Cricetulus griseus: one gene and its partners. Each later gene encodes a partner of the first gene's protein in a complex. Links are inferred from orthologs where the notes say so. Each region holds a gene or a part of one and is shown in the gene's direction. Other genes may lie near its edges.

Region 1 (2,482 bases):
TTAATGGCACTGGAATTGCACTAATTTTTGATTTATTTCTTACTAACAGAATTTTCATGCAGATTCTACTTGTCTTAGTTGAAGTTTCTCTTGCTGTGACAGAACACTATAATTAAAAGCAACTCAGGGATGAAAGATTTATTTCATTTACTCTTCCGTATCACAGTTCATCATCTAAGGTAGGCAGGGCAGGAACCTGAAGGCAGGAGCCAATGCAGAGGCCATGGAGGGGTGCTGCTTAATGGCTTACTCTTCGTGGCTTTCTCAGTCTGTTTTCTTATTCAATTCAGGACTACCAGCCCAGGGGTGTCCCCACTGTAATAGGTTGGGCCCTCCCCTATTATCAGTCTCTTTGACTGAGATTGCTCTTTGTCCATTCATCAGATTTTTCTTTTAAAGAATACGATCTCCATCAAGCTATATAATATCCTCAAAGGATATCAGAAAAGAAGTACAGTATCTTTTTCTCAAGTAGTTTATACCTTTGTGAGGAGATACATAACCTCTAAGTTGAACATAAGGTGTAACCAGGCAGAAAAACAGAAGGAGAGAGTACTTGTCTTGAGACACAACTGACTTCCAGAAAATGATTGTAAGCAGCCTTAAAGTTAGGAGGTTGTTTGGTTGGAGGGCTCGGGCCCCTGGGTGGTGTGAGGAGTTGGAGCCTGGATTTTGATGTGGAAGACACCTGGTGTTGACACTCATCACCAAGCATTTAGGACCCAAAGAACTTTTCCCACTACCCAGATCCTAAGGGACAAAGCTGGGACCAAGGGCGGTCCGTGTGAGCTTCTAGGTACAAGAGATAGTTTTCCTGGTCACTTGTAGTCGTAATCGTTGGACACCATCCTACATTAGTCAGGCAAAAAAAAAAAAGAAGAAAAAAAAGGAAGGAAGGAAGGAAGGAAAGGAGGGAGGGAGGGAGGAGAAAGAAAGAAAGAAAGAAAGAAAGAAAGAAAGAAAGAAAGAAAGAAAGAAAGAAAGAAAGAAAGAAAGAAAGAAAGAAAGAAAGAAAGAAAGAAAGAAAGAGAGAGAGAGAGAGAAAGAAAAAGAAAACAAAAAACCAAACCAAAAGAAAAAAACACGCCAAATTCTTTGGACTACAAATCCCAGAATGCAACGCCGGAGTTAGAACGTGATCACCCAAGAGCCACTCAGCAGACCATCATGCAACGCTCTCCAAGTAGGCGGGCTCGCTGAGGGGACGGCCCAATGTTTCTTAGGCAACTCCAATGCCGCGGCAGGATTCACTTCCGCTTCCGCCTGGGAGAAGAGCGTCTGCGCAGGCGCCACAGTGGCGTCTTTCTCCCGCGCCTACACAGATAGAAGTTCCGTGTCGGGCCGGCAGCGGCGGCGGCGGCGTCTCTCAGGTTTGAACGCGGAGCGGGTAGCGTCGGGTCTGCGGCCTGATCTGGAAGCCTAGAGCGGAGCGGCGAGATGACGGACCGGTACACCATCCACAGCCAGCTGGAGCATCTGCAGTCCAAGTACATCGGTACGGGCCACGCCGACACCACCAAGTGGGAATGGCTTGTGAACCAGCACCGGGACTCCTACTGCTCCTACATGGGTCACTTCGACCTCCTCAACTACTTCGCCATCGCCGAGAACGAGAGCAAGGCCCGCGTGCGCTTCAACCTGATGGAGAAGATGCTGCAGCCCAGCGGGCCGCCGGCGGACAAGCCCGAGGAGAACTGAGGCGAGCGCTTCCCAGGCTCCCCCGCCGGCCAGCGGTGGGCCGGTCCTCCTTGCTCGGGCTTCTTCATCGTCTGTCACGCCTGGCCTGCTTACCTGTGGACGATTCCGAACAAGTCACCGAGAGACTGTCGGGACCCCCGGGAACTGTGCGGGAGGAGCGACCCTAGACCCGGCAAGCGAGGGAGAAGACGCCACGGGAGTGATGACGCGTTTCTAATGAGTCTGCCTTTCAGTAGTTGGTTGTCCTTCTTGCCATGTTTATAAAGTTTAGGATTTGTCCTATCTTTTGGTGTGGATTGCTGTGTTCCTTGGGTGGGGTCTGGGGAGGGTGCTGTGGACCAAGGTCTCAAGATGTTGCACGTTGCATCTGTTTTTCTTGAGAGTTAGTCTGTGTGTCTTCAGAAATGAAGAACGGATTTTTTTTTTTCATTCAGTGTTCACCAGAGCGTTTTCCAAAGGTTTGGGGGCATACATTATGCCAATTTGGAGAAAGGCTAAAATAGACCAGGGCTAGATGATGCAGGGAGATTGAGGAAGCTTGAAGAATTCGCAATTTTAAATACTATGCTTGTAATGCTAAGATATTGCGATGATGACATTTGAGAAAAGATTTTACGGAATCCAGAGAAAAACCGTGCAGAGCATGGGAAGTTGCTTACCATCTAATAGGGCATTCGTTGGTGTGTTTTAAGTTACTGAAGGAACACCAAAAAAGCAATGAGTCGCTGGGAGTGGCACACACCTCTAATCCCAGCACCCAGGAGGCAGAGGCTGAAGGATTTCT
Region 2 (4,053 bases), about 47 Mb from region 1:
TACAACACAATAAAGAGTGTACAGCCACCTCTCTTCCCCCGGCTCCAAATGTGCTCCTTTGTAAACTGCCCAAGTTAGGAAAGCAGCTACCGCCTCCCTCCCTTCTCACCCTCCCCTGCAGCTATCTCTAGAAAAAAAGGTTCAGAAAAGGCTGCCACAGAACAAAGGAAAAGATCAAACAGTAGCAGGAAGGGCAGTTTCAAGCAAAATCGGGGCTTTAGAAACATCTCAGGGTCTTTCCTACAGTACTGTGCATTGTGAATCTCTAAGAGTCGAGGCAGGGCATATCTTTTAATATCACCGTGCTAATAGGGCTCTGTAGAGAAACATCTTGACAAAGACAACTTGGGGAAGTTTTTGCCAGGAAACTGGAGTAGCAGACATAAACATTCCCAGAGCACAGTTTGCCGTTTCTAGGATAGAAACCTCTGAAGACAAAATTGAAACCTAGTAAGAATCTTATATATAATTCACCAAAGCTCCCTCTTTTACACATAGGGAAACCGAGGCCCAGGAGGGCACAGCAACCGGCCTACAGCTAGCTACACTGTAACTACAGACAGGAAGAGCTAAACAAACCCCAGGTGTGCTTCTGGACTTAAGTGTCTTTCAGTACAATGTGTATGGCTACCTGGGCTCGTCAGATATTCATATTTCGAATTTTATTTTGAAGCCTGGTGAAAGTTTCTGTCAGTGTTCTGGGTAACTTGTCCTCTTAGGCCTACAGTTCATTGCTCCCAAGTCGTCTCTCCCTCCTTCAATACACTTTCCATGTAATCCTATGCAGTTCGGGCTTGCCTAGGAGGAACAACGATGATCTCTCACTCTTTCCCCCCTCCCTTTGGACTTGTAGTGTAAACTTTTTCATGTAAACCAACTGCACATTTTCAGGCCTTCGCCTGAATGCCGGAGGACTCCCCGCCGCCCCGCTCCCTGGACTCCACTGCTCGCCCCATTCCTCTGTAAAGGGACCCTGTGGTTGATCTTCACCTGGGACTGCCATGATGCAGGTGAGCGGAGTCCTGGGCTTTCGAGATCGCGTTAGGTTCAGGTCCGCTGAGAGGACAACGCACTATCAGAGAGATATCTCCCACCCCGGTCCCCGCAACTATAGCACACGGTAGGGGAAGGCCGGATGCGCTTCCAGAGTTCGCGGAACTCAGGCGCTGCGGATGCAGTTTCCAGGGGAGTCCTATCGCGGAGCACACATGGTCGGAACCATTCTGGCCAGCTTCGGGAGGTGAGTGCCATCTGCGAATACCTGACGTGGACGCAGCACTGGGATTTACGGATTGGTCCTTTAACTATTATGACAGTTAACATGACCAATTCTCTAAAGTTGCAGAAGTCTTATAATATTTTCTAGTTACCCGAAGGACACCGAGTTTCCCCCCTCCGGAGTTAGCGGTGCTAAGGTCCGAGAGCAACATGGCGGCGTCCATGAGTGGCTAGTTTGGGGACTAACTAGTGTTTAGTACGGCTGTCTTGCCCAACTCTGAACGAGTCAAGTTTTCCCCAAGTATCTAAGTTAAAGAATTGTCTGCTAACAGGCGGACACCTTCGGAGATCCGCCATTCACTCGCGACCACACTAAGGAGCGGAGTTCTGACCACTGACCAAGATGAGTAACATCTACATCCAGGAGCCGCCCACGAATGGGAAGGTGAGAACCGCTCCACCACACCTGGACACCCCAATTGAGAGCTCCCTGATTTAGGGCGGGGACGGAGGGACAGGTGTCGGGTTCTTAGAGTTGGAAAGACCAAAAGAACTGTCGTCCACACACTGCTCTTGGACAGTGTTGCATCAACATTATTTACGTTGACACGTCTCAGTGTATTTTTGAAAGAATCCTTTTGAGCAACTTCTCTATTCCCTAGTCTGCTGGCCCCTTAACTTCCTTGATCCAATTCATGTGGGCGCCTTCTAGTGTCTGTTTTTTGTTTTGTTTTGTTTTGTTTTTTTTTAAAGATTTGTGCTAAGATTGTTAAATTGGTTGTTATTTAACTTGGAGACCATGCCTTTCTCTACAATCATTTATTTCCTCGGCTCAACATTTTTTTCTCCTGCAAAATACATGCAAGGTTTTATGTTAGGTCTTAAGGATGCACTGGAAGAAAATCCATCATCACCCCTTTTATTGTTGAATCAGTTAAAGGAACTGTGATTTGATAAAATAATTGTGTAAATAAAAATACAGTTACAAATTATGATGAATACTGTTTTTCTTCCGAATAGAAACAGGCTGGAGGAGAACATAAAGCATAGTCTATAACTTTTTAGAGTCTCTACTGCCTAATGTCCCATTAGGCACCATAGGGGTGTAGTTGGATTCAGAGTCAATGGGGCACATTTCCCTTATTCAGTAAGCATGGTATCACATAGGAAGAAGTTGATGTATGACACCAGCTTACTTCTGAATGCCATCATGGCTGAAGGAGGAAAAAGACATTATTAATTTAGTAGCTTATCAGTGGAAAGTTTTAAGGTGTGCAATGTGTCCAAACCACACATTTTTTTTCTAGAAGTAAGTTCTCAGCAGCGATATATATGTGTGGTAGTGTTTCTTGATTTGTGTGCAGCTTAGTATTATATGAATAACAGCTCATTTCATCCTCACATCAAATCTATGGGGCTAATATGCCTGTTTTTATAGAAGGAAGTTAGTTGGGTGAGAACTGGTGGATATGTCCAGGCAGTCCAAGCTAGTAGGTGGAAAACTCAACTTTGAAGTTGAACACCTTGACAAAAGAGCATGTGGAGGGAAGGGTAATTTGTGGTACTTTGTTCTCAGAGATGGTACTAATGAGGGCATATTTTAGGGCTTGGACCACTATTCCTGAGACACTGGGAGAAAATACGTGTCTATTTGCATTATCTTCTCTTTATTTGTTTAATTATATATTTGTGTGTGTGTGTGTGTGTGTGTGTGTGTGTGTGTGTATTCCCAGAACCCATATTAAACACACACACACACACACACACACACACACACACACACAAGTCCAGGTACTTGTCAGTCAGTTTTTGTATAGAGTAATTATTTAATGATATGGATATATGGTGGCTACATTAACTAAGCCAACCTTTAAAAACTTCATATTATTATTATTATTATTATTAATTTTATTTTATTTTTTGGTTTTTTTGAGACAGGGTTTCTCTGTGGCTTTGGAGGCTGTCCGGGAACTAGTTCTTGTAGACCAGGCTGGTCTGGAACTCACAGAGATCCGCCTGCCTCTGCCTCCCGAATGCTGGGATTAAAGGCGTGTGCCACCACCGCCCGGCCAAAAACTTCATTTTAAAGATAAGATTAATAATTAAAAATTTAGCCTGGTGTAGTGGCACACATCTTTAATCTAGCATTTGGGAGGCAGAGGCAGGATATTCTCTGAGTTCAGTGACAGCCAGGGCTACACAAAGAAACCTGTCTTGAAAACAATAAATAAAAAAAATGTAAAAACTTGCCAGGTGTGGTAGTACATGCCTTTAATATCAGCACTCAGAAGGCAGAGCTCTGTGTGTTCAAGGCCAGTCTGGTCCACAAAGTCCCAGTGAGACCCCGTCTGGAACAAAATAAATACAATGTACAAATATAAGAAAACTATGTTAGCATTTAAGCATAGGAAGCATAGGAAGTCTGTCAAATAATTAAAAGTTATGGAGATTGTTGGGAATACATATTTCCATTTATTATTGTTACAAATGAACTTTGTATTAAATATTTGTTCTGTCCTGAAATATTTGTCTCTAAGATTATAACACCATTGTTTATGATCTACTGAGCTTTTAAAAACATTTTAAGCCTAAATACAGAGAACAGGAAGACAGACTTCTTTAATTTCAAAGTATATTTGGTGAAAGAAATTGTACATGAGAAGGCCCATTTTGTATGATTCTCTTTATATTAAATGTTTTATTTGCAATGTCTATATAAACTGAAAAAAATTTGTGATTGCCAAGGGATGAGGGTAGGGGAGTAGAGAGGGACTGAAAATGGTCAAGGTTTCCTTTCATTCTGTGGTAGTGAAATGCTTTGGAAATAGGGTCAGT
Region 3 (3,500 bases), about 250 Mb from region 1:
ATCCTGATGATCTTGCACAAAATACTTATTTTGTGCTATCTAAGCTCAAAATGAAAGCCTAGATGTGTTAATTTAATGAGAGTAAGGAGAACATAGGAGTGAAGGGCTACTTCATGGATCGTCGAACAGGTAGTGATAGAGCAAGTTCAGGAAAGTGGTCTGTAATATCAGAATCATTGACATGTGTGATTCCTACAGACCTGGTGGAGTTCACAGATGAAGAGGGTTATGGTCGTTACCTTGATCTTCATGACTGCTACCTTAAGTACATTAACCTGAAGGCGTCTGAGGTAAGGCCTGAAGAGGGGAGGGATGAAATCAAGATACCTAGTTAAAGTACATGGAGTGTGCCACATGTAATGTGTGTTGATATTAAGTAGGTGATCCCATTTCTTGGAATAATAAACAATATTTATAATAAAATGGCACCTGCCTACAGTTAACACAGCAAGCCCATTATTTTCTTTAATAATTTTCATTATTTTAATGTGTTCATGCAGTTGAAATCTGAGGGGAGTGTGCACATAGAAGCCAGAGGCCAACATCAGTTGCTTACCACACTTGTTTTGTTTGTTTGTTTTTTCTTTTTGTTTTTCGAGATACGGTTTCTCTGTGTAGCTTTGGAGCCTGTCCTGTTGCTCTCTGCCTCCCAAGTGTTAGGATTAAAGACATGTCCCACCACTACCAGGCTTCCGCTGTATTTTTTTAATAGAGGGTTTTTTTTTTATGTATTTCTATTTTATGAGTGTTTTGCCTGCATGTATTCATCATGTGTGTGCTTAGTACCCTTAGAAGCCAGAAAAGGGAGCTATATCCCCTAGAGCTGGAGTTTCATTGCACATGGTTGTGAGCCACTCTGTGAGTGCTGGGAATTGAATCTGGGTCCTTTTCCAGAACAATAAGTAGTCTTAATTGCTGAGCTGTCTCTCTGGTCCTGCCACTTTAGTTCTTGAGACAAGATCTTTCACTAAACATGGAGCTCACCTTTTGAGCTATTCTGGCTGGCTTGTGAGCCCCAAGGATCTTTGTCTCTGCCTTCCTGGCACTAGGAGTCTGGGTGTGTACCACCATGTCCAGCTTTTACATGGGGTTTGGGGATCTGTTGTTAGGGTCTCATGTTTATGCTATAAGCACTTGACTCATTGAACTAACCCCCTGCCCAAAGATAAATAACTTTTTTGTTCGTTTTCTGAGAAAGGGTTGCTCTGTGTAACTCTTGCTGTCCTGGGGCTAGCTCTGTAGACCAGGCTGGCCTTGAACTCACAGAGACCCCCCTGCCTCTGCCTCCCATATACTGGGATTAAAGGCATGTGCTATCACTGCCTGGCAAGTTTTTAAACCCATAAATACTCTGAATGTTCTTGTGTTAGATGCACAGTATGAGGCATGTGAGAAACATAACACGATCTCTGTCAGAAAAGGAATAGTTCATGTCTTTTTGCGGGGCAGGTGTTTATTTGTTGTTTGTTCAGTGATGAGGTTTAAAATGGCAAATTGGTCACATGGAAGTTTAATAGTAAGTTCATAGATGGGGCATGGTGGCACACCTGTAACTCCAGCACTCAGGAGTCAGAGGCAGAAGGATCTCTGTGAGACCTTGTCTTTATGGGGAAATGTCCCCAAGTTCAGCTACTAACCTGTAAACTCTGCAGACAAGATGTCTTGTTCTTTTTTGCACCCCCATGTTTGGTTCAAAGATCTTCAGGAAGTGGCTTCATGAATTAACATAGGTAACCTTTCAGGACCTTATTTGAGAATGGCAAAATCCTTAGACAGGAGCCTGGCCCACCCTAAAAATCCAACATGTGACTTGTTTGGATTTGGGTTTGTTAACTTGATCTTGTAGGGTTAGTTTCATTTCCAGCAATCTTCTGCTCACTTAAGTGGAATCAACAGCCTTAGGGATTGAAAGACAGGAAAGAAAAGCCAAGCCTTGATACTTGGTTAGAGAACAGTCAATTTGGCCTTGCTTTTTAAAACAAAATTTATTTATTTGGTATATGTGTGCAGTGCCCTTCAAGTATAGAGGTCTAAGGGTAACTAGAGGGAGTTAGTCCTCTGCTTCCAAGAACTCAGGTCTTTACACTTGGCAGCAAGCACCTGTATCCACTGAGCCATCTTTCCAGCACTTGACCTTACTTTTTGAATAGTAATTGACTTGTCTTTTGTTATTTCTCTTCTCTTTTCAGAAGCTGGATTACATCACTTACTTGTCCATCTTTGACCAGTTATTTGACATTCCTAAAGAAAGAAAGAATGCAGAGTATAAGAGGTAGGCATTAACAGTTTGCTGGCCTTTTCTGGATTTAGCTAGAATTTCATGGGAAGTTTTGAAGTCAGAGTTCTGGCTTTTGTTGCATGAATGTTCTACATAAATGACTTCTGGATTTATCAGAAGATAAGTGAGTGTTAGTTTAAAAATATTTGTGATGCTGATATAATGGTGTGTGCCATTAGTCCCAGCACTCTTAAGAGGCAGAGGCAGGTGGATCACTGAATTTGAGGCCAGCCTAGTCATAGTCCAAGCCAACCAGGGATGTATAGTGAGACCCTGTCTCAAGAAATAAAATAAAAATCTGTATTTTTGGTTGTGGACAAAGGTATCTTTGTTGGTTAGGGTTTCTATTGCTGTAAAGAGACACCATGACCATGGGAATTCTTATAAGGGAAAACATTTAATTGGGTGGCTTAAAGTTCAGAGAGTCAGTCCATTATCATGATGGGACATGGTGATGTGCAGTCAGACATTGTGCTGGAGAAGTAGCTGGGAGTCCTACATATTGATCCAGAGGCAACAGGAAGGTAACTGAAACACTGAGTTTGTCTTGAGCATATTTGAAACCTTAAAGACCACCCCCACAGTGACACAGTTCCTCCCAGGCCACACCTATTCCAACAAAGCCACATCTAATAATGCCACTGCCTATGAGCTTATGGAAGCAGTTACATTCAGACTACCATAGTATCTATGGGAACGTCTGTGGTCTTACCCATACCTTCCTTAATTTTGTGGAATATAGAAAAAAGTCTGTTTGGGGACCTCTGAAGTTTTTGGAGTTTAACAGGGAAAGTTTCCAGGACTGGCTACGTGCTTGGATCTGGTATTAAGTGGAAAGTAATAATGAATTTATCACACTTTTCCTTAGTGTTCCTAAGCTTGCTCTTTCTCATATTCTGTTTACTTGACCTTTTTTTTTTATCTGTGAGTTAATTAAGACCTAGTAATTGACATTACTTCTCGAGGATAAAAGGAGGTAGGAAAGGTCATGATGTGAAAAAAAAAAAATTACGCTCATTTTAAAAATTTAGTGGTGAACCAGGTGGTGGTGGCACACGCCTTTAATCCCAGCACTTGGGAGGCAGAGGCAGGCAGATCTCTGAGTTCCAGGCCAGCCTGGTTGAGTTCCAGCAAAGTCAGAGCTACACAAAGAAACCTGTCTTTAAAAAAGAAAAGAAAAAGAAAGAAATGAAGTATAGTTTGCAGGGCATAGCAGTATGTC
Region 4 (4,214 bases), about 250 Mb from region 1:
CTCTGTATCGGCCCCTCCAGGTGGGGCCTTGTTTGCGGTCACCATGGAAACCCCTACTCGCCTTGCCCCATGGATGGGGCGGGGCTTCGTAGGGAGGCGGAGCCGGCCACGTGCAAGTTTTTTCTACTGAACTAGCTCCACACGCTCCAGGCTTTTTGGTAAACAAGATTGGAGACTTTGCGCTAGATCTAATAAGGGATGTGATGAGATGGGCAAACCACCTTTGCTCAGCCTTAAAACGCAAGTCATCTCCTGACTCCTTAGTTTGTTTAGCAACGATTGGCACTTAGAAGGCAGAGGCTGGTGGATCTGTGTGAGTTCCAGGACAGCCAAGATTACATAGACACTGTCTCAAGAAACAAAAAAGAATTTCCTATTGTTGAGTATTTGTCTGTGTTTTGTAACTATCAACAATCCGCCACGAACAGGTTTGGATTAACTTTCCAATTTTCTTTCTTTTATTTTAAAGATTTATTTATTTATTATGTATACAGTGTTCTGTCTGCATGCATCCCTGCAGGCCAGAAGAGGGCACCAGATCTCATCACAGATGGTTGTGAGCCACCATGTGGTTGCTGGAAATTGAACTCAGGACCCCAGGAAGAGCCATCTCTCCAGCCCAGACCCCAAGATTATTTATTTATTTATTTATTTATTTATTTATTTATTTATTATTTATTTAGGTTTTTCGAGACAGGGTTTCTCTGTGTAGCTTTGGAGCCTATCCTGGCACTGGCTCTGTAGACCAGGTTGGCCTCGAACTCACAGAGATCCGCCTGCCTCTGCCTCCCGAGTGCGCCACCAACGCCTGGCAAGATTTGTCTTTTTTAAGAGCCAGGCGAACACCTTTAATTCCAGGGCTTGGGAGGCAGAGGCAGGCGGATCTCGAGTTCGAGACCAGCCTGGTCTACAGAGTAAATTCTAGGACAGCCAACGTTACATATAGAAACCCTGTCTCGAGAAGCAAAAAAAAAAAAAAAAGGATTTTTTTCTTTTGGTGATTTGTGAGGTCTTAGGGACTGCCCCCAGCCCTTTGCACACGCGAGGCAAACGCTCACTTTACTGTTAAGATACATTCTCCAGGCTTTCCGCCCTTTTAACTTAATTTCTATTTGGCGGTGCTGCGGATGGAATCCAGGGCTTCGGGCTCGGCTAGGCAATCTCTACCTGACCGACTCACTAAATTGCCCAGGCTGGCCTCGAATTTACAGCGATTCTTCTGCCTCCGCCTCCCGAGGTCTGGCCTTGACTTTCCAGTCCTCCAGCCTCACTTCCCCAGGAGCCGGGATCCCGGGGTCACAAGCCCGGGCGTCCCCAGCGTAGGAACCTTAGCATCTGCGGCCACGCCCACCTAGGGGACCCCCCGCCGTGAGGGCTTCTGGGATAGCGCGCTGCCCGGAAGCGGAAGTACAAAGGTCGGGCCGTCACTTCCTTCGGCTCGAGTGGCTCAACGGACCGTGCAAGTGGCTCTCGGCCGGGCCGCAGGATGAAGGCCGGGAAGAGCGAGCGGGAGCGAAGCGGCCGGCGGCGACACCGGGCCGACGACGCACTGGCGACCGTGGTGGTGAAGCAGGAGCGTCTGAGCCCCGAACCTATCGCGCACCGGCGGCCCGACGCCCCAGCCGCTAGCCCGTCCCCGCCCGCCGCCGAGCCGGGCCGCGCTAGCCACCGTGGGAGTCGAGCCCGGGGAGTGAGCCGGTGAGAGGGCCGCGGCCGGGATGGCGCGGGGCCCGGGCGGTGCGAGCGACTCGGGGTGTAGAGCACCTGTTGAGTTGAAATGAGATTCCCCCCGCCTCCCACGGGGGACGGTGGGAATGTCTTTCCACTTGCCTGCCGCCAAAGTGTTGTTTCACGTTGGGTCCTGGCGACTTCTTCGCAGCACTCATTCGCCGATGCCCCCCGTACGGCATCGATTTACTGAGTGCACAGTGTGGGCTAACGATCAATTGAGGTACTGGGCCACAGGGTGAAGAAGAGAGATGGTTTGGCCCCGGCGAAATTGGGCGTGCTCCAACCCTAAAGAAGGAAAATAACAAATAGATTCAATTAGTGCTGAGGATATAGTCAAACAGTAACGTGGCCGGGCCGTGGTGGCGCACGCCTTTAACCCCGGCACTAGCGCTGGGTCAGGACAGAGAAAAATGTATGCGAAGAACCTGAAGTGGAATTGGGCTTGTTTTAAAAGTTGAAGCAAAACAGGCAGTGTGTCTGGAATTGAGCGATGAAGGAGCAGCATTGTAGGAATGAGGTGGGGTGGAGGAAAGGGTGGGTCCCTGGGACTTGCCAAGGGATTGGATGTGGTTGTTGGAGAAGGGAGTGTGTTAGGAAAAACAAAAAACAAAACAAAACCAAAAACCAGGCAAGATTGACTCCCTGGATAGTGATGCCAATCAGTAGGATGACAGACTGGGAAAAGAGCTTTGGGGTTCAAGTATTAGGGTATCTAAGTGAGCAGGCAGTTGTGTATGTGAGCCTGGGAGAAGTGGCTAGGGAAGTGAGGACCTGACTCCATTAGTGATTTCACAAATGTGTTATGTTTAGTAGCCTGATACTTGAAGCTAATTTATTTGGGGGCAGGGACATTGAGGTAAAATCCTGTGTACCATGCTCTGATAAGGTCCCCAGCCAAAAAGAAAAACAAGTCCTCAGGGAGAAGAAGCAAGTCTCCTCGGACTAAGAGAAGCCGGAGCCCCCACTACTCCACCGTCAAAGTGAAGCAGGTGAGTGAGTGGGCAGGAGCCTTTGCTAGGACCCACGTTCAAATCCAGAGCTGTTGCTGGACCTAAAGGTGGCCTGCACCGGCGTGTCTCCGTCTTTCCTTGTCCTGGCTGTGGGCTTTTCTAAAGACTAGATATATGTTTGTGTTGTTTTATGTGAAACTTCAAATTTGGAGGAAGTTATTGATTTAATTCTGATAACTCTTTGCCAGAAATAGTGCAGAGAGATGTACCTTTCCTTGTTTCTCCCAATGGCAACTTGTCACACAACCGTGGGCAGTATCACAGTCAGGATACAGACATCTCACTGCCAGTGGGAGGCCTCCAGCTGTTCTCTAGAGCCCTGTTCCTTTCCACCTTTATCTTTATCTTTATTTTTGTCTATCATTCCGCCAATCCCATGCTGTCTCAAGTACCACACTAAGTGATAAGTCTTGAAACCTGAGTGCCCCAATCCCTTTTACTTTAGTATTTTCAAAATTGTCTTAGCTGTTCTAGTTCCTTTGTCTGCATCTCTGTAAATGTTAGAACAGTCTTGAATGTGTGTGATTAAAAATAAAGTTTTTTTTTGGTGCATCTCCCCCCCCCCCATGTGTATGTGTTTTGCCTGCCTGCATGTATGTGTGTGCACTGTGTATATGTCTGATACCCACAGATCCCAGAAGAGGGTAGCAGATTCCCTAGAACTTGAGTTAAGGATCGCTGTCAGATACCACATGGGTGCTGAGTTATCTTCCAGATTTTCTAGTGTCTTGCTCCAAGCCAGTGTGGCGGTGTGTACATGTATCCCTACACTGAGGCAGGGGGATCACAAGTTCAAGGCTGGTTTATAAGTTTAGTGAGAGACACTGTCTCAAAAAGTAAAAAGGGAGGCCGGGCGTTGGTGGCGCACGCCTTTAATCCCAGCACTCGGGAGGCAGAGGCAGGCGGATCTCTGTGAGTTCGAGGCCAGCTTGGTCTCTAGAGCGAGTGCCAGGACAGGCTCCAAAGCTACACAGAGAAACCCTGTCTCGAAAAGGCTGGGGCTAAAGTTTAGAAGTAGAGCGCTTGCCTAGCCTGTTTCCTGAATTCTAGTCCCATTACCATTCCATATGTATTTATAGTAAATGGACTATTATTATTACTCAGCCTTAAAATGAAGAAAATTCTGATGAGTTACAAGATGTCTGAACCATGATGGCTTGCTTACTAAACGGGGGGGGGGGGGGCGGGGGGGGCGGAGCGCAGCAGGCGCGGCGGCGACAGGACACAAAAATTGCATGATCCCACATCTTTGTAGTTGAGACAGTTGACCTCCTGTCAGTTAGGTCCAGATTGGCTTGAAACTTGCTTAGTAGGTATTATAGGCAGGCCTAGAACTCTTTGGTTTTTTTGAGACAGGCTTTCTCTGTGTAGCTCTAACTGTCCTGGATCTTGTTCTGTAGACCAGGCTGGCCTTGAACTCAAAAGAGATTCACCTGCCTCTGCCTCCCAAGTGCTGGGATTAAAGCCAAGAGC
Region 5 (3,500 bases), on another chromosome or scaffold:
GTAGTCCGGTCACAAATCTGGACTGGGGAAATGCATTTAATTTTTATTAATCCCCAACTAAATTTTAGCATCTCTTTCTATTAGAAGTATAACTATAGTGTATACTTCCAATCCATTTGTTACTGTGAGATACTGTTTATGGCCATTCGACTTGAAATTAAAATCAATACTTGGCCTCCTACCACTTCTTGTTATTTCATGTCTGAAGACACTCAGAGCACTCTGTATCAAGCTGCTTCTTTTCGTGTTTTGAGGACTGTCTCAGTGTCTGATCTATCTTTTTGTGTTTATGCATTTTAGGAAGTGTACTGTTTTCACTAGACTTCAAAAGAAGTATATGGGAAAAAAGGTTATGTTTTCCTCCATCCAACATTAAATTCCAAAAGAAATAATTATAAAAACCATAGATTTTTAGAGCCTTAAAAGACTGAGCATTATCAAGTTTAATGTAAAAAGCAAGTGAGGCTTAAATGCCCAAGAGTAAGTTAAAAACAGTGAGGCCATGTAGCTTTCAGCAGGATAGCTGCATAAACAGGAGGTCTTTCAAATGTTATGACGGTGTCTCAGCTCCAAGGTCCCTTGTGACTTTGCCTTTTTTGGTAATTTTTAGCTTAGCCTATCAGAGGATGAGCTGGGAGGCCCTGAAGAAATCAATCAATGGTCTCATTAACAAGGTCAACATCTCCAATATAAGTATCATTATCCAAGAGCTCCTTCAAGAAAACATAGTCAGAGGGAGGTAAGTACTGGTCATTTGCCTTGTGTATCTCATAGTAAGTTTTCAAAGAAACTTAATATCTCTCAACGGTAAGCATTGGTTTGTTATACTACTTCATTTCAAAGGTATTTGTGAACGTTTATTCAAAATGCAGTTCTTTTACAATGTAGGCTATTAAATAACTTATATCATGTTGTTCAAAGTTTATAGTCAGTGCTTTTTGAGATTTGATATCACAGCATAGTTTTGCACAGGAATTTACTAAATTTCTCTAATAATTTAAATCTATTAATTACTAAAATATGCTATTTCAGACTAATTGTTTAAGTTGCCATGAAATCTTATAAATCTGTTATTAACAGTGTGATGCTTTGGTGTGTTCATCCTGTGTTGCCACAAGGGTCAGAATTTGTTCCTTAGAGTTGAACGTTATTCTATTGTGTGTATATGAATTGTCTTTGTTACTAGTCAGTGACAGGAGCTCCATCTGGCTCTTGTGGATAATGCTGTAGGGATGTGGTGTGTAGCTCCCTGGCTTGGTGTTTCCCTACCTTCTGCATTACTGTGCATGCCTACTCACAGTCCACAAGTGTTCCCTATTCTCTGCAGCCTTTGTCATTTTTATGACATTCATTGTACCAGGGATGAGATGATCTATCATGGGTTTTACTCTCTCTGTTCATCTGATGATAGGTGGTGCTACATGGTATTACCTATGTGTTATCTTGAGAAATGTCTATTTAGATGTTTTGTCAATTTTCAAAACGGGTTATATGGTTTATTACTGTTGGCTTATCTGATTTCCTTGTATATTTTGGATTTTAGTTCCTTATCAGACTTGGCTTGCAGATACTTCTCTTTCCGTATTTGGTTTCTTTTCACTGTCCAGAAGCCATTTAGATTAATGAGGTCTCATATATCAAGTTTTCTTGGACCTCCTGTGGTTTTGGAGTTATGTTTTAATGTATCAGTCCAGACAAATATCATGGCGCTCCCCCCAGTAGTTCTACAGATTGTTTTCCTATGTGTTAATCAATTTTAGGTTGCTGTGTTGTGTGGTATAAGACTAAGTTATGCTTTTATTCTTCTGCATGTTGATGTGTAGTTTTCCTACCACTACTCTTGAACAGACTACCTTTATATTGCATGCTTTGATGCTTTAGTTAAAAACAATCAGATACAAATGTATGAATTTGTCCCTAGGTACTCTGTTCTGTTCTCTGTTGGTTTCTATAAAGTTTTATGCCAGTACCATGCTGTTTTGGTTACTATTAACTTTGTGTAACAATAGTAGGTTTTTAATTGGGTAATATGCTGCCTCCTGCTTTTTTCTTTTTGCTGAAGATTGCTTGGTCACTTGGATTCTTTTATAGTGTATATTAATTTTTAAGGAACTTCTTTCCCCTGAAAAATGCCTCTAGAGTTTTGTTGGGTATTACACTGAATTCAGGTAGTGTGACAAGCGTAGCCTGTTCCTGATCCCAAAGGAAGGGTTTTTGGCCTGTCACTGTTGAGATTTTGTCATTATTTCCTTTATTTCCAGTTCACATTCTACTTAAACCAAAATGAGGATGATAGATGAGTGGGAAAGATAAACAATAAATTTGAAGAAAAATGAATCAATTTTCTATTTGGATTCAAGCAATTGGTGATTTTTTTTAAAGAATAAAGAAATGGAAATAAATATCTCATATCTGTCTGTTGTTTTTACATCCAAATGCTGTCTTCTTGTGATTTTATATTACACTGATTATTATCATTAAAAACAGGACTAAACTAAGTAGAGCATGTGGTTGGGGAGCAGAAGGTTGGCCAAAAGCCTGCTACTGTCCATGGAGGTGGCAGAGCTCTGTTCATTTTACCTGGAAAACAAGCAGGCATAGAGAAGGGACCTCTGTTGCTTATGTCTTATGTATAATCTGGGTTCACTTCTTTTCCTCCTCAGTGGTTCAGCTGTCCTGTCTACACTGCTAAGTATTAAGTCATTTCCCACCCTAGATTCTAGCAGTCCAGTAACTGTCACAGTATTTCTCAGAATAATGTAAATTAGCTTGCTGTCCATCTCTCTTTTCCTTACCAAAAAAAAAAAAAAGACTGTCTCAAGGTGAGTTTCCTATCTCTATATTGTCACTTCATCAGCACTCAGTATCCTTACTTTTGTTCCTCTAAAATTACACCAACAGAAGGAAACAGCTCAAATCTGTGTCCCATCACAGAATTGTTTCATACAGATGATGGACCCTGGTAGAAACGTTATGTTGTCTAAATTTTACACTCATCAAGCAAGTTTGTTTTTACTCCGCTGTTTTGGGGGTTTGGTTTATTGAAAAGTTTCTCCTACAATGTATTGTGATGTTTTCCCCCATTCTTACAGTCATGATTAGAGGAAGTGTGAATAGGAAAAGAATTTTATTTAGAGAACAATTTTTGAAAAAACTTATTCTGGTTTTATTTTACAAAAAAGCACAATTTTGTTTTCATAAAAGCATCCCTCCCCCCAGGCAAGATTTCTCTTTGTGGCCCTGACTGTCCTGTAACTAGGTTGGTAGACCAGGCTGGTCTCAAACTCATAAGATCCGCCAGCCTCTGCCTCCTGAGTGCTGGGATTAAAGGCGTGTGTCACCAAGCCTGGCATAAAAGCACTTCATTGTTGTTTGTTTTTGTTTTTCTTTTTACATCCCAACTAACACTTCCCCTCCCTCCTCTCCTCCCAGCCCCTTTCTCCTCTTCTTCTATTTTTCTTCAGGAAAGGGCCGGCATCCTGTGGATATCAGCCAGCCAT
Region 6 (3,500 bases), on another chromosome or scaffold:
AATCTGTTCCTTTACAACCCAGAATCTTAGACTAATTGTGTGGTTTTCTATATTGGGGGGTGGTGGGGCACAGGTGTCAGCATGGCTGTGTGTCAGTCAGGACAATTTGCAGGAGTTTCCGGGGTTTGAACTCAGGTGGCCAGCCTGGGCTTTATTCACCGAGTCCTCTCAGCTGCCCACAACTCAGATTTCTATGGTGTGATTTAATTCCCCCAACTTGTCTTGTAGACGGCAAGGTGGAAAGTCACCTCTAAGGAAGCCCTGCAGAGAATCAGCGAATACTCTGAAGCCGCGATCACAATCAGAGGAACCTACTTCCCTCCTGGCAAAGAGCCCAAAGAAGGGGAGCGGAAGATTTACTTGGCGATTGAAAGTGCGTACTGTTGCTTCTGTGTGAAGCATGAATTAGATCAATGTTGTGTAGATGTAATGCGGGTCAGTGTGAAGTTGAGAGTAGGAAAGACTGAAAATAGGAACACCTCTAAGAAATAGAAGACCATGTATTGCTTGAGGTCTTAGAAGTCCAGTACCCACATAAATATAAAGTGGAAGGATCTACTTGTGGGATTTAAGGGTGAAAATTGCTCTAGAGAAAGTCCGGGTTTTAAGGGCGTACATTTTTCTTTTCTTTTTTAAGGTTTGAACACTTATGCTTTTTTGTGTCATCCTTGTGTAGGGACCGTGCTCATTGTCTGCACCTTTCATGTTGTAGTGCATGTGCTGTCCCAGGGGGCACAGGACCCACACACTTGTATTGTGTCAAGTATTTTTATCAGTGTTCAAGTTAGAAAGTAAACCTGCTGTACTAGTTCACTGTCTTGGCAGGCAGTATACTCCCTAACATGACTTGAGGTGTTGTGTCCTGGACCTCCTTACAGCCAGAGGAGTTCAATAGTATGAACCGTATGTTTTCTACTCAATCATCAGGTGCCAACGAACTGGCTGTGCAGAAAGCCAAGGCAGAAATCACCAGGCTCATAAAAGAAGAACTGATCCGACTGGTAAGTGAAACCCTCACGCCTTGCTTATTTCAGTGACAGACTTGGACCCCGTCCCAACACATAAATGTATCTTGGCGAGTTTTTAGAGTAGTCACTATCTAAATGAAGAAATACAGACCGTTTCTCCATCTAGAAGCATGTCCTCTGACTTCCATGTCACCATATCACCTTCAGATAGAGACGGATTGTGACTGTAGATTTGAGGATGAGTGTTAGGCGTTTTCACCTCTGTGTAGTGTGATTGTATGCTGTTTAGTCTGTTTGTGTCTCAGCATTATATTGAGGAGGCCAGGCTGTTGTTGCAGGTAGCAACAGTGCGTGCTGTTTCATGCCTGTATGTTATGTCATTGTTGAAAACACAACAGCTTTGGGCTGAAGGAATTCTGCTTTGGGCTTTTATGAATGATATTTCTATGAATCTTTTTCCTTGACTTTTTCTATATATTAATGCATCTCTTCATTGAATTTATAGTTTGGAATAGGATTCTAGTTATAAATTCTATACAGTTTATCTTTTTAGTGGGTGTTACCACATTGTTTTACAAAAGCATTTACCCATTTTCACTCATTGGAGCATTTGAAAATGCCAGCTGTTCTGTGTCTTGTCCAACCCATAGTGTGGTCGGTATTTAAAGTTTAGGCAGCGAGTTAATTTTGAAAAAAGAATAGCCTGCTAAAGATAACCTTCCTAAGGGGCCACAGATACATTATTGATCCTTAATACCAGTATGCAGCAGTTGCTTTGGAAGGAAGTCTGGTTGGCTATCTAAGGATAAAGGGGTGGGGGGTGGGGCTTTTCTGAATTTCCATTTATAACACATAGAATTCTTTTATGGGGAATGTTTATCTTATTTATTTATTTACTTAGCTTATGGATGCAGGGTTTCTTTGTGTAATCCTGGCTGTCCTGGACTCGCTATGTAGACCAGGCTGGCCTCAAACTCACTGAGATCCACCTGCCTCTGCTCTGCCTCCTGAGTGCTGGGATTAAATGCAAGTACCCAATTTGAGGGGGGGAAATACTTTTATTTTTATTTGATGTGCATTGATGTTTTGCCTACATGTATACCTGTGTGAGGGTGTAGGATCTTCTGGAGCTGGAGCTACAGATACTTGTGAGCTGCCATGTGGGTGCCAGGAATCGAACCCACATCTGAGAGAATATATAAACAATCCAAGTATGGTGACTCATACCTGTAATCCTATCACTTGGGAAGCTGAGCAAAAGGACGTCATAAATTCAAGGCTAGCCTGGGCTATTGAATTTGACCTTATCTCAAAAATATACTAATAATATAGCAGTGTGCTATATTATTGAGATTGTTTCTTCTAAGAGTAATAGAAAAAGAATTTCATGTTTGGAGACTACAGAGTTATTGGGGAAGGGGTGGGGTGCACAGTGAACAGAAAAAAATGAGTTCTTTATTGAGACCTTCCTTTTGCCTCCACACAGCCTTTTTATTTTGGTTATCTGATAGTTTATAAATTGTTAAAAGAAAATGATCTCAAATATTCATTTGTGTGTGTGTGTGTTCTTTCTAACCTTCTGTCTTTTATTTTCTATCATAGCAAAATTCATACCAACCAACAAATAAAGGACGATACAAAGTATTATAAACATCTTGGAGGCACTTTGTCCCTGTGCTGGTCTGTGAAGTTCACAATGTATTGTAAAGTAAGACTTTGAAAATTTTGTCTTGCTTATTTTTTAAAAACAAGAAACCAGTGTTTGTTACAGAAGTCAGTTGTCAGTAAGTACTGCCCCACACTGATCCAAACTCCATCTCCATCAGACCTGATTTCAGAATGTGATGTTCCCAATGTAAACCTTAGATACCAATACTCTTAAATGTCTGGAAACAAGGACTCTGTGTTGAATGTGGTAGTAAAGTGTGTCAGTCACTAAGGGCCACTGGCCTCTCCTCTTTCATTGAAATTGTGATGTAATCGTCTCCAACGAAAGGGTAAAAGTCCATGTCATGTTTTGTTGCCCCCTCTTAAGCTTAAATCTTATTTGACTGAATGGAACATAAGAACTGGATCCAGGAATGTTTTAATAGATGTTTATAAAATAGGTTCAGAATTTAATTTTATCATCAAAAATGAGTAGTAGTTGGTTTGCCTTTGGTTTTGTAAAATTAAACATAAGTAGCATAATGGGATTTTTGCACTTCTTTTTTCTTGCTCCTTTAGAGAGAGTCCCTGTGTAGCTCAGGCTGGCATTGAACTTGTAGTCCTCCTGCATTTACCTTTGTAGTGTTTGGGATCACCACTTCTTTCTACTGCATTAGTGTTACTATTTCAGGTTCCTGATCAGCCTCTGACTCTGCCTAAATGCTAATTCCATTCTTTCCTGCTTTTAGATAAAGTGATTGTGGCCAATACACACTAAATACGATTCCTTTCCCTCCAACGTGTTTCTTTAGACATATATATATATATGATAGATATGTGGTATATACAAACACCTTGTTACTTTTCATCTAATTTTCCTTCAGG
Region 7 (4,220 bases), about 100 Mb from region 1:
GTCAGCAGGGTCACTGCTCAAGCTATAGCACTATCGTGACACCGTGAAAGTCAGAACTTTCATCTACTTTTTTGCAGTTTTACTATCTATTGAGTTGGAAAAAAATCATCTGACATCTATGTTGCCAGAAATATGTAAATCAGGTTATATTAGTGAACAGTCTTGACATCTGGTGCAGAGAGGAACCACTGTTATCATGACTATGGACTATACTGGTGCTCAGAATACTCTACCCTTCTTGCATCTATGACCCCAGGTGTCCTCAAAAGGTAGTATTGGGTATAGCTTCTGCAGACTCCAGGCCCGAGAACCACACATACAAACGGCTGGCAAATCTCTGCTGTTAATGGGAAGTGAGGGCTTCAAGCACCTGGCTTAGAGGAACCCACAACCACCGCGCCCCCCAGTAACCTTGTCATCACCTTGAGAACAGAAAACCACACTGGGGGGAGCGGGCAATTCGGCCCTCAGGAAATGAGGGGTGCCCTCATCCTTTATCACACTGCGGATGCTTAGACTCAAGCTTCCCGCTGGGCGGGGACGGGGACTGGGCCTGGGAACTGACTGTGCCAGGGACACCTTGACCTAGGACAAGGCAGGAGCGGACAAGGACGCTGGGCCTGCAACCGGGACAGGTTCGCAAAAGTCAGCCCCAGGTTGAGCCCGCCTCGCGTGGCCTCGCCTACCGCCGCAGGCAGAGCTCCCCGCCCCCGTGAACCCACACATCGGAGCTCGCTCACCTGCAGCCGGGTCACCAGGAGGCTGTAAGGCGCCATTTTGTGCACTGACAAAGATGAGGTCGCGTGAAAGTGACGTGCCACAGGGCGCTTTTGAAGTGCTTGGGAAGGGGCGTGGCCTCCAAAGCGGCGCGTCACGGTGAGGGTGGGGCCTTCCTCCTCGGAGCCGGAGTCCAGAGAGCGCAGTGGGCGGGGCTTCCATGACGGGCACAGCGCGAGAAAGAAACTGCCAGCTTGTCAGTCTTTGCACTTGGGGACGGAGACGGCAGCGGAGCCAGGAGTTCAAGGTCATCCTTCACGCCTTGAGACTCAAAAGGGAACCCCCAGACCACATATTTTGCGGAAGCATGCGTGAGGCCCTGGCCTCAGCCCCGAGCACAAAAAGTACCATGTGTACAAAAGTTTTTTGCGAGACAGGTCTGGCTGGCCTCGAACTCAGAGATCCGCCTCCCGAGTGCTGGGACTAAAGGCGTGTGCTACCACCAACCAGCCATATGTAGGAATTTTATCCAAGACAAAAACACTTAGTTTATTCGTTCAAATCGGGAGGGAACAAAAACTTTATTATAAAGTCTTTGATGCACCTGCTAGGGGTCCAGCAAGTTCACGCTGAGAAAACTCGCGAGAACTAGCGAGATTTGGTGCAACGAAGGGCAAAAGCTGATGGGCACCTTGACGGCCAATCACGATGGAGAAGTGGGTGTAGGAACGGCGTAGGTTAAAGGTCGAGCGGAAGTTCTCTAAGCTTCCGGCCGCCGGCTTGGGGACGAGTGATGGCTAAACACCATCCAGATTTGATTTTCTGCCGCAAGCAGGCTGGTGTTGGTGAGTTGGCTCGCCGCTCCCTTCCGTTGGAGTGGGATGGTGTTAGAAACGGGAGAGTGGGGGGTTCGCTTCCTCTTTAGGGCCTGGCCTTGGGGGCTCCACGTTTCGCGCCTTGCGGTCCCTGGGTATTCTGGGGGTGCGCCCAGGTTTGTGACTTGTGATAAGAAGGCAGGATCGCGCGTCTGGGAGCCTGAAACTGGGGGCAGCGTCTGCGCTAGGTCTGGAGAAGCCGTCCCAGGTTGCTTTGAGGATTCCGGACAGGGCGCTGGTGCAAAGCAAAACTTAGGGGCTTAGGCCGGGCGTGGTAGTTCACGACTGTAATCCCAGCGCCTGGGAGGCTGAAGGCAGAAGATTGCTGGGGGTTCGAGGCCGACCTGAACTACATAAGAAGTTCCAGGCTATAAAACGGGAATCTGTTGGGAGGAGGGGCGTGGAGAGGGGAAAAAAAAGGATAATAAGACAGCTATTCTGCTCACTGTAGTCATTGCTACCTGCCCCATCCTCTATCCCAGCTTTGAGGAACAACTTCCTTGCTAAATCACCATTTTGATTTTAACTGTGTTTTTTCTTGCAGCTATCGGAAGACTGTGTGAAAAATGTGAGTGGAACATACCCTCTCACACATTGCCTTCTTTCTTTGTTTTTTGACGAGCCAACAAGCCATTTATTCCAGAGGAGCCCTAAAGAAGCATTGAGTGGATATGCCAGACTGCAAAGAACACTGAATCTCTGACTACAACCAAAGGCTCCCCACCAGACTCCCACTTTAGCTTGCATACTTTAATATTTCATACTTAGGTTGTGGGGGAAAAATACTTTTGGACAGTAAGAACTATCAGAGTAGTGTGAACCTTCCCAGGCCAATGTTTGTGCAAGAAGGCATGCAATTTGTTGATGATAACTACATAGACTTAAAAGCTCCTAGCTAACACGTCAAAACTCTTCCCATTTATATTTTGAAGGAAACTGAGGTAGATGGTAGATATAAGATAGGGTGGATGCTGTCAAGATAGAGAAAAGGCCTGAAGTCACAGTCAAAGGGAGACTGGTTATTTCACCCATAGAATAAAGATCTTTAGGAAGTAATCACTAGTGAATATAACTCCATTCCTCTTCCTTTGCAGGTGATGGCAAATGTGTGATTTGTGACTCCTATGTGCGACCCTGCACCCTGGTTCGCATATGTGATGAGTGTAACTATGGATCTTACCAGGGCCGGTGTGTGATCTGTGGAGGCCCCGGAGTCTCCGATGCCTACTATTGTAAAGAATGCACCATTCAGGAGAAGGATGTGAGTGTAGACTTGAGCATTCCCTCCTGGCCTTTCTTCCTTTTTCTTTGGACCATTTTGCCATCCATGTCCATCTCTTCTGGTCTATGGAGACTGCAATGTTCAGCTAGTCATGTAGGTAGAGGTTATTATCATCCTCCTTTTATACTCTGTCCCAGGCTATCTGACTAAATCTGGTGTCCACATTACATCATGTTATGCTTCTCTAAGACCTTCTTGGTGTGTGCTCATGATGAAGAGAGCACCCAGCCTCCTCAGCACTCCACATGTGGATGCTACCTACCACCAGTACCCGAAGCCAGATAGGGCTTTAAGGAGGGAGGGGGGTTGTTCTACGTGGTGCGGAAGGTGATCTATGATAGCTGCATTTTCAGTTTTGATTGACTTTATCATCAAATCTCAAATCGGGTCTTACCACATCCAGCAGATATTGATTGGGGAAGCCACATTTAGGCATTAGCTAGAGTTCCCAACTGAGAGCTTTTTCTCCATGGATGAGCTCCAGGCTTTTCTTACTGCCTGCATGCAGTTTATGCCACAGGACATACAAATGATTCCTGTTGGGTATATCCTCACTGTTCTCAGTGCTGCAGAGTTTGGTTGTGTTTGGTTTGGTTGAATTTCTTTGTTACATCTATTTGTGTGGGTGCATGTGGTATTAAGAGGACAGCTTGCCTGGAGTTGGTCCCACACACACACACACACACTAGTGAGTATTTTGGCCCACTAATACTTTTATGTGCTTACTGTTTTTCCCTGTCCTTCTTAGAGAACCAGATTGGTGCTTGGCCCAGAATGGAGTTTTAGAGCAGCTGAAAAGTATTGTTTACTCTGTTGAATCCACTATTGTTTGGGAAAAGGGGAATGTTGTTGATTAAGTATGAAATCATAATTTCAGTTGGTGGTTTGAACATTCTCCTGCCCTAAATGCTCTTTCCAATTCTTTAGACAACCAGAACTCGATTGTATTCTGTCTTCCACAGCTGTGGATTATGTCCTCCATCTTTCCTTTTTCTCGGGTCTTGGTAATAGTGCCTAATCTGTAATACAAGGATGGTGCTCTCTTTTTGGTACTGTGCCTATAAAGTGTTCCTGGGAGACACTCCCCACCCTGGGCATTTGTTATTTAGGAACTGGGAAGTACTGGGTGTAATGGAAAGAGGAGGGACACACAGTTCTCAAGCTAAAGGGTCCCTGAAGAGACAACACTTTCTTGAGCTTTCAGAAATGTCTAGAGTCTGTTTCTGACTTAAGCTTGGAACCAGAGGATGCTTGCTAAACAGTAATTGCCATCTCACTTGTCTGCATGCGCCCTGTGATCTGATACCTTTGGATCCCTGCCCCTCATTCTGCTCCCTGAGAATTAT

What was found.
Region 2: Sf3b5 (region 1) and Cwc27 share a complex: the UniProt entries of both Homo sapiens proteins name them as parts of the minor spliceosome. The link is inferred for Cricetulus griseus from reciprocal best matches to the Homo sapiens genes SF3B5 and CWC27.
Region 3: Sf3b5 (region 1) and Sf3a3 share a complex: the UniProt entries of both Homo sapiens proteins name them as parts of the 17S U2 SnRNP complex. The link is inferred for Cricetulus griseus from reciprocal best matches to the Homo sapiens genes SF3B5 and SF3A3.
Region 4: Sf3b5 (region 1) and Snip1 share a complex: the UniProt entries of both Homo sapiens proteins name them as parts of the minor spliceosome. The link is inferred for Cricetulus griseus from reciprocal best matches to the Homo sapiens genes SF3B5 and SNIP1.
Region 5: Sf3b5 (region 1) and Cwc22 share a complex: the UniProt entries of both Homo sapiens proteins name them as parts of the minor spliceosome. The link is inferred for Cricetulus griseus from reciprocal best matches to the Homo sapiens genes SF3B5 and CWC22.
Region 6: Sf3b5 (region 1) and Ddx46 share a complex: the UniProt entries of both Homo sapiens proteins name them as parts of the 17S U2 SnRNP complex. The link is inferred for Cricetulus griseus from reciprocal best matches to the Homo sapiens genes SF3B5 and DDX46.
Region 7: the proteins of Sf3b5 (region 1) and Phf5a are in contact, whole or in part, in a cryo-EM structure (PDB 7EVN), measured with the Homo sapiens proteins. The link is inferred for Cricetulus griseus from reciprocal best matches to the Homo sapiens genes SF3B5 and PHF5A. Residues at the interface, in NP_112577.1 of Homo sapiens: Arg4, Tyr5, Thr6, Ile7, Gln10, Leu14; in NP_116147.1 of Homo sapiens: Pro6, Asp7, Leu8, Ile9, Phe10, Cys11, Arg12, Ile88, Leu91.

The regions. Positions count from the first base shown.
Region 1 is NC_048595.1:275,868,412-275,870,893, reverse strand, and holds Sf3b5 (splicing factor 3B subunit 5), read left to right. Parts: upstream 1-1,288; 5' UTR 1,289-1,437; coding exon 1,438-1,698; 3' UTR 1,699-1,982; downstream 1,983-2,482. UniProt on the Homo sapiens protein: Component of the 17S U2 SnRNP complex of the spliceosome, a large ribonucleoprotein complex that removes introns from transcribed pre-mRNAs.
Region 2 is NC_048595.1:323,100,651-323,104,703, reverse strand, and holds the start of Cwc27 (spliceosome-associated protein CWC27 homolog), read left to right. Parts: upstream 1-1,253; 5' UTR 1,254-1,621; coding exon 1,622-1,663; intron 1,664-4,053. Other genes in the region: protein SREK1IP1, read right to left, coding at 991-1,003. UniProt on the Homo sapiens protein: As part of the spliceosome, plays a role in pre-mRNA splicing. Probable inactive PPIase with no peptidyl-prolyl cis-trans isomerase activity. As a component of the minor spliceosome, involved in the splicing of U12-type introns in pre-mRNAs.
Region 3 is NC_048595.1:28,346,922-28,350,421, reverse strand, and holds part of Sf3a3 (splicing factor 3A subunit 3), read left to right. Parts: intron 1-198; coding exon 199-290; intron 291-2,189; coding exon 2,190-2,272; intron 2,273-3,500. UniProt on the Homo sapiens protein: Component of the 17S U2 SnRNP complex of the spliceosome, a large ribonucleoprotein complex that removes introns from transcribed pre-mRNAs.
Region 4 is NC_048595.1:27,987,065-27,991,278, reverse strand, and holds the start of Snip1 (smad nuclear-interacting protein 1), read left to right. Parts: upstream 1-1,414; 5' UTR 1,415-1,486; coding exon 1,487-1,698; intron 1,699-2,617; coding exon 2,618-2,720; intron 2,721-4,214. UniProt on the Homo sapiens protein: Required for pre-mRNA splicing as component of the spliceosome. As a component of the minor spliceosome, involved in the splicing of U12-type introns in pre-mRNAs. Down-regulates NF-kappa-B signaling by competing with RELA for CREBBP/EP300 binding.
Region 5 is NC_048599.1:97,153,846-97,157,345, forward strand, and holds part of Cwc22 (pre-mRNA-splicing factor CWC22 homolog), read left to right. Parts: intron 1-610; coding exon 611-739; intron 740-3,500. UniProt on the Homo sapiens protein: Required for pre-mRNA splicing as component of the spliceosome. As a component of the minor spliceosome, involved in the splicing of U12-type introns in pre-mRNAs. Promotes exon-junction complex (EJC) assembly.
Region 6 is NC_048596.1:274,656,438-274,659,937, forward strand, and holds part of Ddx46 (probable ATP-dependent RNA helicase DDX46), read left to right. Parts: intron 1-228; coding exon 229-373; intron 374-927; coding exon 928-1,001; intron 1,002-2,570; coding exon 2,571-2,618; 3' UTR 2,619-3,500. UniProt on the Homo sapiens protein: Component of the 17S U2 SnRNP complex of the spliceosome, a large ribonucleoprotein complex that removes introns from transcribed pre-mRNAs.
Region 7 is NC_048595.1:379,006,418-379,010,637, reverse strand, and holds the start of Phf5a (PHD finger-like domain-containing protein 5A), read left to right. Parts: upstream 1-1,420; 5' UTR 1,421-1,510; coding exon 1,511-1,562; intron 1,563-2,136; coding exon 2,137-2,160; intron 2,161-2,686; coding exon 2,687-2,853; intron 2,854-4,220. Other genes in the region: Aco2 (aconitate hydratase, mitochondrial), read right to left, coding at 741-776.